Linked DNA regions of Kluyveromyces lactis. The protein of the gene in region 1 binds, or shares a complex with, the protein of each later gene. Links are inferred from orthologs where the notes say so. Each region holds a gene or a part of one and is shown in the gene's direction. Other genes may lie near its edges. The genes, in order: ORC1 and ORC5.

Region 1 (4,381 bases):
GTAAAGTTTATGACTGCTACTAAAGAGCAAATAAACACCAATAGTTTCATTAGTGATATAGAATGCAGGAGGATTTTGGTTTTCATGGTTTGTTCAGGTCTATTCCTGATCATGTAGTACAAGACAATCGATCCCAATATGAAAACTTCCAATACTGCCACGACGTAAAGTAGATTGACCATGTTGACTTTTCTTCTCGACAAAGCAGCCAAAAATTTGTTGTATTTTGCACTTTCTGCATTGTCGTGATCCAAAACACCATCGTTGTAAGTATATCCGTATGCGTAACTTAACACTATTCCCAAACCTAGGTCATCTAATAGCTTTCTATAGTTCAATAAGTATTGCGCTCCTTCCCTGTGACAAGTCATAGCCTTTGTAGAGTTATGTTCCTCCTTCCAAGTACCGTCAGGCTGCCATAATTCTTGAGAAGCATGTTTCATGCTGCACCATCCGTAAACTCCTGTCTTTATATAATCGGGCACGTCGTGGACCTGTGAGTCTACATACCGCGTGAGTAAAAGAATCTCTGCTGTTGTGAGTCCTGCTCCGTTATTAATATCAGACAGTTTTGCACTGACAACAGAACTGCTGAGCTTATCAAATAGTCCCTGCAAAATGTTAACATTTGAAGTGTCCAATCGTCCTAAATATAACGAATTTGGTGATGCGGCAGAAATAGCAGTCAAAACAAGGACAAAAACGATAATTCCCACTGAAGTTATAACTCGCAGCCATAACATCATCTTATCAAATGCGTTGAGGTGTCCTAGGGTCACTTTTAAGTATTTCCATAACGATATATTCCTCGCCAAGACACTTCCAAACCTCATTTCTTTTTATAAAGCTCCTAAAAGCTTCTTATGTATGACTCTATCAACGTGGGAAATTGTTCAATTTTTTTTCCAGCAGGCCAGCTGCCTTTATTCTTCTGTGTTTATCTGCTTCACCTTCGTTAATTGACTGGCAGAATTCATTCTGTTTATCATGTCATCACTCTTGAGATAAATCTCTTGATCTGTTTCTGCCAGGGTTCAAGGTTTAAAATTAGACGTCAGGAATGGGAAAACTATGTATCATTTTACACGTATTTGATGTTTCAAGATCGATCTTAATTCAGTAAACAGAGGAACCGTGTAACAACCAATATGCTATGAGATAAAAGAATGCTACGGAAACAGGTAGCTGTCATTTCAACATACTTGGCCAGCAAGTAACTACTACTAGTTTAGGAAGGAATTACTGCATTTTAACGGTTATCTGATTATTTTTCCTTTTTATTCCGTGGTAGCGAGTTTATTAGGCATGGCGTCAACGTTAGCTGAGTTTGAAGTTCAATGGGAAATACAGAAGACAGACTTGAAGGGGAATCTCATTGCTGAAACTCCTAGGCGAAGAAGAAGAGGAGATGCTACAGAACATGAAGTGATTAATTTGGTACGATACGATGGAGTCAGACTTTATCCTGGTGTTACGATTGTGTGCAAGGTAGAGGGTGCAGACGAGTTATCAGCGTATATGATCCATGAGGTGCGATTGAATACAAGCAATTACGTAGAACTCTGGTGTTTGAACTATTTGAGTTGGTACGAGATCAATGCTGCGGAAAGATATAAACAGCTTGATGGAGAGTTTTATGAGACTAATAAGGAAAAAGGTGACAAATTTTTTGAGGAAACCTTCGCGTCACAATCGATAAAGAACGAATTGTATTTGACAGCTGAGCTTTCAGAGATTTATCTACGGGACTTGCAATTTGTAGCTAATATTAAAAATGAAAAGGAGTATTTAGACTCTGTCAATGAAGGGAAAATGGATTCTAATATGTTTTTATGTCGATCTGCATGCTTGCCTTCAGGAACTAATCTGGCGGATTTAGATATACATTTCTTTGAAGAAAAAATACGTTCCTCGAATCCTAAGGTGTCTCTGGAGTATTTGCGTGATATTACTTTACCCAAGCTTCCAAAACCTTTAAATAAATCCAAGGTCCACGCACGAGAGAAGGTAGTGGCGACGAAATTGCAGTCCGACAACACACCAAGCAAAAAAAGCTTTCAACAAACAGTGAGCAAAACCAACGCTGAAGTCCAACGCATTGCATCTACTATTGTTAACGAAAAGGAAGCTATATCAGATAATGAATCGGATTTATCTGAATATCACGAAAGTAAAGAAGAGTTTGCAAACGCATCCTCTTCGGACAGTGATGAAGAGTTTGAAGATTACCAGTCTGCAGAAGAGCTTGCAATTGTAGAACCTGCCAAGAAAAAGGTGAGATCTATTAAACCAGATATACCCATTTCACCAGTAAAATCACAGACTCCATTGCAGCCATCAGCAGTTCATTCATCTCCTAGAAAGTTCTTTAAGAATAATATAGTGCGCGCTAAAAAGGCATATACTCCATTTTCCAAACGGTATAAGAATCCGAAGGATATTCCTGACTTGAACGATATTTTCCAAAGGCATAATAATGATTTGGATATAGCTGCATTAGAGGAGAGATTCAGAACAGTTTCTGCTAAAGGCAAAATGGAGACTATTTTTTCTAAGGTGAAGAAGCAATTGAACTCAAGGAATAGCAAAGAAGAAATTGTCAAAGCTGCTGATTTCGACAATTATCTTCCGGCAAGAGAAAATGAATTTGCAAGTATATACCTCTCACTTTACAGTGCAATTGAAGCAGGCACTAGCACCAGTATTTACATTGCCGGGACGCCAGGCGTTGGTAAAACTTTGACGGTTCGAGAGGTAGTTAAGGATTTAATGACATCTGCAGACCAAAAAGAACTTCCAAGATTCCAATACATTGAAATCAATGGTTTAAAGATTGTCAAAGCAAGTGATAGTTATGAAGTCTTTTGGCAAAAAATATCTGGAGAAAAGCTTACATCTGGAGCTGCCATGGAATCTCTGGAGTTTTATTTTAACAAAGTTCCAGCTACGAAAAAACGTCCTATCGTTGTGTTATTGGATGAGCTTGATGCATTAGTTAGCAAGAGCCAAGATGTAATGTACAACTTCTTTAACTGGGCTACCTATTCAAATGCGAAACTTATTGTTGTAGCTGTCGCAAACACCTTAGATCTCCCCGAACGCCATCTTGGTAACAAGATTTCGTCCAGAATTGGTTTTACTAGAATTATGTTCACTGGTTACACGCATGAAGAGCTTAGAACAATCATCAATTTGAGACTTAAATATTTGAACGAATCTAGTTTCTATGTCGACCCGGAGACAGGGAGTTCGTACATGATCTCTCCGGATAGTAGTACTATAGAAACTGATGAAGAAGAAAAGCGAAAAGACTTCTCTAACTATAAACGACTAAAACTTAGGATTAATCCTGATGCCATTGAGATTGCATCAAGAAAAATTGCTAGTGTCAGTGGTGATGTGCGGAGAGCTTTAAAGGTGGTCAAAAGAGCGGTAGAATATGCGGAAAATGATTACTTAAAGAGGCTTAGATATGAGCGACTAGTCAATTCCAAAAAAGATACTAGTGGCAATGGTACAGGAAATGAAGAATTACAGAGTGTAGAAATTAAGCATATTACCAAGGCATTAAACGAAAGTTCGACCTCTCCGGAACAACAATTCATATCTGGTCTGTCATTTAGCGGAAAACTTTTCCTATACGCATTAATCAATTTAATTAAGAAGAAGCAAACTGACGTACAACTTGGTGATATCGTAGAAGAAATGAGGCTCCTCATTGATGTCAATGGGAATAACAAATACATTTTAGAGTTGAAACGGATTTTATTCCAAAATGATTCTGTTGATACAAAGGAACAGTTAAGGGCCGTGTCTTGGGACTATATTTTATTGCAATTATTGGATGCAGGTGTTGTAGTAAGGCAATATTTGAAGAATGAGAGGCTCTCGACGATCAAATTAAATATTTCCATGGAAGATGCGGAGCAATGCTTGCATGAAGATGAAATGTTGAAGACATTTTAGTATATGCCTTCAAGACGCCTTTGCTGCTATTATAATTGCTACTTAGGTTGTCATGTAGCGTAGCGGTTAAGTAGAATATGAAACTGCTTTTTCAACTATTTAATTATAAGATAGAAAGATATAATAAAGGATGCATTTTTTTAACTACTATTTTACCGTGTTTATTCATTCTTTACCCTCCCGCTTCGGGCAAGATGAAACCGTTGATCACGTAATAGGAGGTAGGTGATTTACGATGATGGCGGAGGGGTATGCACTTGTCTTTTTGGAGAAGAAGGTCGCGAAGGACCGAATGATTTGTATATCAGTAAGGGCTCGCCGATCTGTTTATATTCCGGTACTTTCAGAGTTAGATTGAAAGCTTTTGCAATCACGACCTTAAATATTTTCTGTACGTTGATTGATGATTGGGTCG
Region 2 (3,459 bases), on another chromosome or scaffold:
ACAAACTGTTAATCAAAACTCAGAAGCGTTCCGTTGAGAATTCTTACGCCTATGGGCAGTATCTCATGAAAGCGATCAGATCTAAACCAATGTTTGCCTATCTAGACTTGAAAATTGATAGATATTGGGATGTCCTGATTTGGATGGATAAGTATAATTATGGTGGTAGAGCATGTCTACAGATTGAAGATAAAGAAGTTCAGAGTTTCCAGGCTTATTCTCATTGGCATATAAAGGATTTCTTACCTGCAATTTATCAGCAAGAGTTTGATGATTGGTTAGTAGTCATACTGGATAGTATGGTTAAGACAAAGGAAGCCTATCATGAGCGAAATGCATCCACACAAAGATTAACCCAATTACCAAAGAATACACTGGCTGATAGTGACGTAGATAGTCAAACTGACTCTCTAGGCGGTTTTACCCATAATTTTTCAAAAGCTCTCATCAAAAGAGCAGAGAAACTTTACAAGAACCAACAGGAATATATTCTTGATCCTAACTTCGGCAAGGATTATCTATCTCCCACAATTCCTGGGTCGCATCTAGTTGTGAAAAATCCGCTTCTTGAGTTGGTCAAATACTTATCACATATTTTATCACTTTCCAGTAATCATTTATTAGAAGGAAGGGCGCTAAGGAAAGAACTCCTAAAGACATTTGAAATACGCGAATTCGACAGATTAGCTGAATTCAAGGATCCAAGTACATCTTTTGTGATCCCTAGCTTCATATGTGAGCATTGTTCTTATATATCAGATATTGATATTTGCAGAGAAAGTATGGAACGAGTCTTCATATGCCAGAGCTGCAACAGATCCTTGAATAAAAATCTCATTGAAGAGCATGTGATCGAACGACTTCAAGCCCAAGTTGCATCGTTTATTACCCAAGATGTTAAGTGCAATAAATGTCATAAGATCAAAGAGGATGCAATGTCACCTTATTGTCCATGTTCAGGAAAATGGGAACTTGCCGTATCTAAGGAATCTTTCATGGCACAGTTACAAATTTTCAAGAACTTGGCGGAAAGCTTTGACTTTAGAACATTGAAAGAAACTTTGAATGATTTCTTATAGGTTCAAGTCCCTGGCATCTGTTGTATTATCTTTTAGTCTGCTGATGTGTTTACATTTAACATTTATGAGTGTTTATGTGTTAAAATAGATCTGAAAATAAAAAATATATATACACATAAAGGAAATTGTTCTGAACTTAGCATGGTTGAATTCTTCCCACCTGAATGAAGACGCACTATGTGTTATTTACTGCGAATCAAGTGACCCAGAATGGTACGACCTGATGTTAGATATAGAGAAGAACAACTAGATTTTTTGGAAGCGTTTGTCGATGCCGATCCAAAACTGAGCCCGCCAATCTTGTTCATAGAAGGGCCGCATGGAAGTGGTAAGACACATACCCTCAAGAAGTTTTTTGCTTGCAATGAAGAAATCATGAACATTTTACTACCAGCGAAAGATCTGATATATAGCAAATCCACCTGTCAGCGGTTGGCTACATGTCTGCGTCAATTGCTACTGAAACAATTTCCTAGTGTGGAAACCACTGATCTTGATCCATTTGAAGCCGAGGACGTATATCTTTTGCAGAAATTTATCAATAAATTGTTTATCCGATTTAATCACTTGGTAGAACGCGTTAACCTTTATGTTATACTCGATGGGCTGGATGATAATTCACAGGTGAACTTGGAAACACCTACGCAACTCATGGCATTACCTGGATCTATTCTTCCACAAGCGATGATTCAACTTCGGTTAATAATCTCGTTCTCCAAATCCTCATTCTTGTCCAATTACTCAACGTTCAAGGTTCCCACGATCTTCTTCCCCAAATATAAACCACTGGAGATTGAATATATTGTATCACAAACACCAGGTTTCTCGGATGACCCGCTGTTATTGGAAAAAATGGATGAGATAGGATGCGGAAATACAGAACAATTCAGGAGTGAAATCTTCGAAAAATATATCCATTTCCTGATAGAATCATTAATTGTATATACAGGTTATGACCCCACTGCACTGATAGACATAATGAGAATTAAATGGAGGTGCTTTGTACGATCTTTAAATCAAGAGAACATTAAAAATACAGTACAGTTATACAAATCTAACCTGGAGCTATTCAATAAACCTAACGAAAGACTAATACCACAAACCAGCCGTTCGGATCAAAATTCACTAAGTGGTACCGGGTCTGTTGGTTATTCAAGCCATTCTCTTTGTTTCATGGCAAAATATCTTCTAATAGCCGCATATTTGGCATCATATTTGAATCATCGGTACGACTCTAAAGTCTTCTCCAAGAAGAGTCATCTAAGGGGGGGTAGATCATCTTATGGGAGAAGAAGCAAACCAGCGAATAACCCGAGATACCTTCAACCATCAGGCTTTTCTCTTGAGAGAATGCTGGCAATTTTCCAATCGATATACCCAGTCAGAGTTTCGAAGGAATTGTCTCCAGATTTCTTTCAAAGAGATGTTCATATGAAAGCAAATGTGGAAGTCTACGAAAACGTGTCCGAATTGATTACTTCTCAACTTCTTACCGGTCTGAACATGCACAAATTGGGGTATCTTCACGAAAGACTTAAGTTTAAAGTTAACGTCACTTGGGATTACATATTACTAGTGGCTGGCAGTGTTGATTTTGATATTTCAGAATATTTCAGTGATGTTGTGGAATAAACTCGGCATTTGTAGTAGTTATATGATTGTTGCATGCCGTTCTTTTTTTTTCGATCTCATTTTACTCTATGGAATGCTTCTTCAAATTTAGGTATTTTTTATAGACATTGAAATTGATACGTAGAGAGAAACAACCATAGATTCAGATATTTGACATACCAGCAAGCAGAAAGCAGCAGCTTTCATTGAGTATGAATGTAAATAAGGGATCATCTGATCAAAATGATAGATCTGTAATTACCAAATCTAAGGATAAGCTTCAGGTCAAAAAGACTGACTTCAACGCAGATAGCTATGACGATCACTTCGAGGAATCAGACTACCAGGACATTTCTTGCAGCGACGACAGTAGCGATAATGAAGAAGAAATAGAAGATTTCGTACGAAGAGGTCAAACCGAAACCGATGAAATCTTTGATGGAAATTCCTCAGAGATTTCAGAATCTGACAGCGCTGTTGCTGATGATTCAGTATCAGAAGAAGAAATAAATGGTAGTAACGTACAAATAGAAGCCTTCAACATGGAAGAAGAACTGAAAAATGGGACCGTAGACAAGGTAGGGAATGCTACGGGAAAAACTATAAATGATGATTTTGAAAATGAGGACCAATGGATCCAAGACTTTTCTTCGAAGGAGTCAATTAAAAGGGCAAGAGAAGCTCATGAAAATAGCCAAACTCTACAACGGAAGAAGAGGGCTAGGATGTTATACAGACTAGAAGAAGTTCTCGAACAATTGTACTATTT

What was found.
Region 2: ORC1 (region 1) and ORC5 share a complex: the UniProt entries of both Saccharomyces cerevisiae proteins name them as parts of the origin recognition complex. The link is inferred for Kluyveromyces lactis from reciprocal best matches to the Saccharomyces cerevisiae genes ORC1 and ORC5.

What each region holds. Positions count from the first base shown.
Region 1 is NC_006038.1:453,412-457,792, forward strand, and holds ORC1 (origin recognition complex subunit 1), read left to right. Parts: upstream 1-1,305; coding exon 1,306-3,966; downstream 3,967-4,381. Other genes in the region: ECM7 (Ecm7p), read right to left, coding at 1-833; Ras family GTPase TEM1, read right to left, coding at 4,197-4,381. UniProt on the Saccharomyces cerevisiae protein: Component of the origin recognition complex (ORC) that binds origins of replication. It has a role in both chromosomal replication and mating type transcriptional silencing. Binds to the ARS consensus sequence (ACS) of origins of replication.
Region 2 is NC_006039.1:234,753-238,211, forward strand, and holds ORC5 (origin recognition complex subunit 5), read left to right. Parts: upstream 1-1,289; coding exon 1,290-2,711; downstream 2,712-3,459. Other genes in the region: POL2 (DNA polymerase epsilon catalytic subunit), read left to right, coding at 1-1,079; U5 snRNP complex subunit LIN1, read left to right, coding at 2,903-3,459. UniProt on the Saccharomyces cerevisiae protein: Component of the origin recognition complex (ORC) that binds origins of replication. It has a role in both chromosomal replication and mating type transcriptional silencing. Binds to the ARS consensus sequence (ACS) of origins of replication.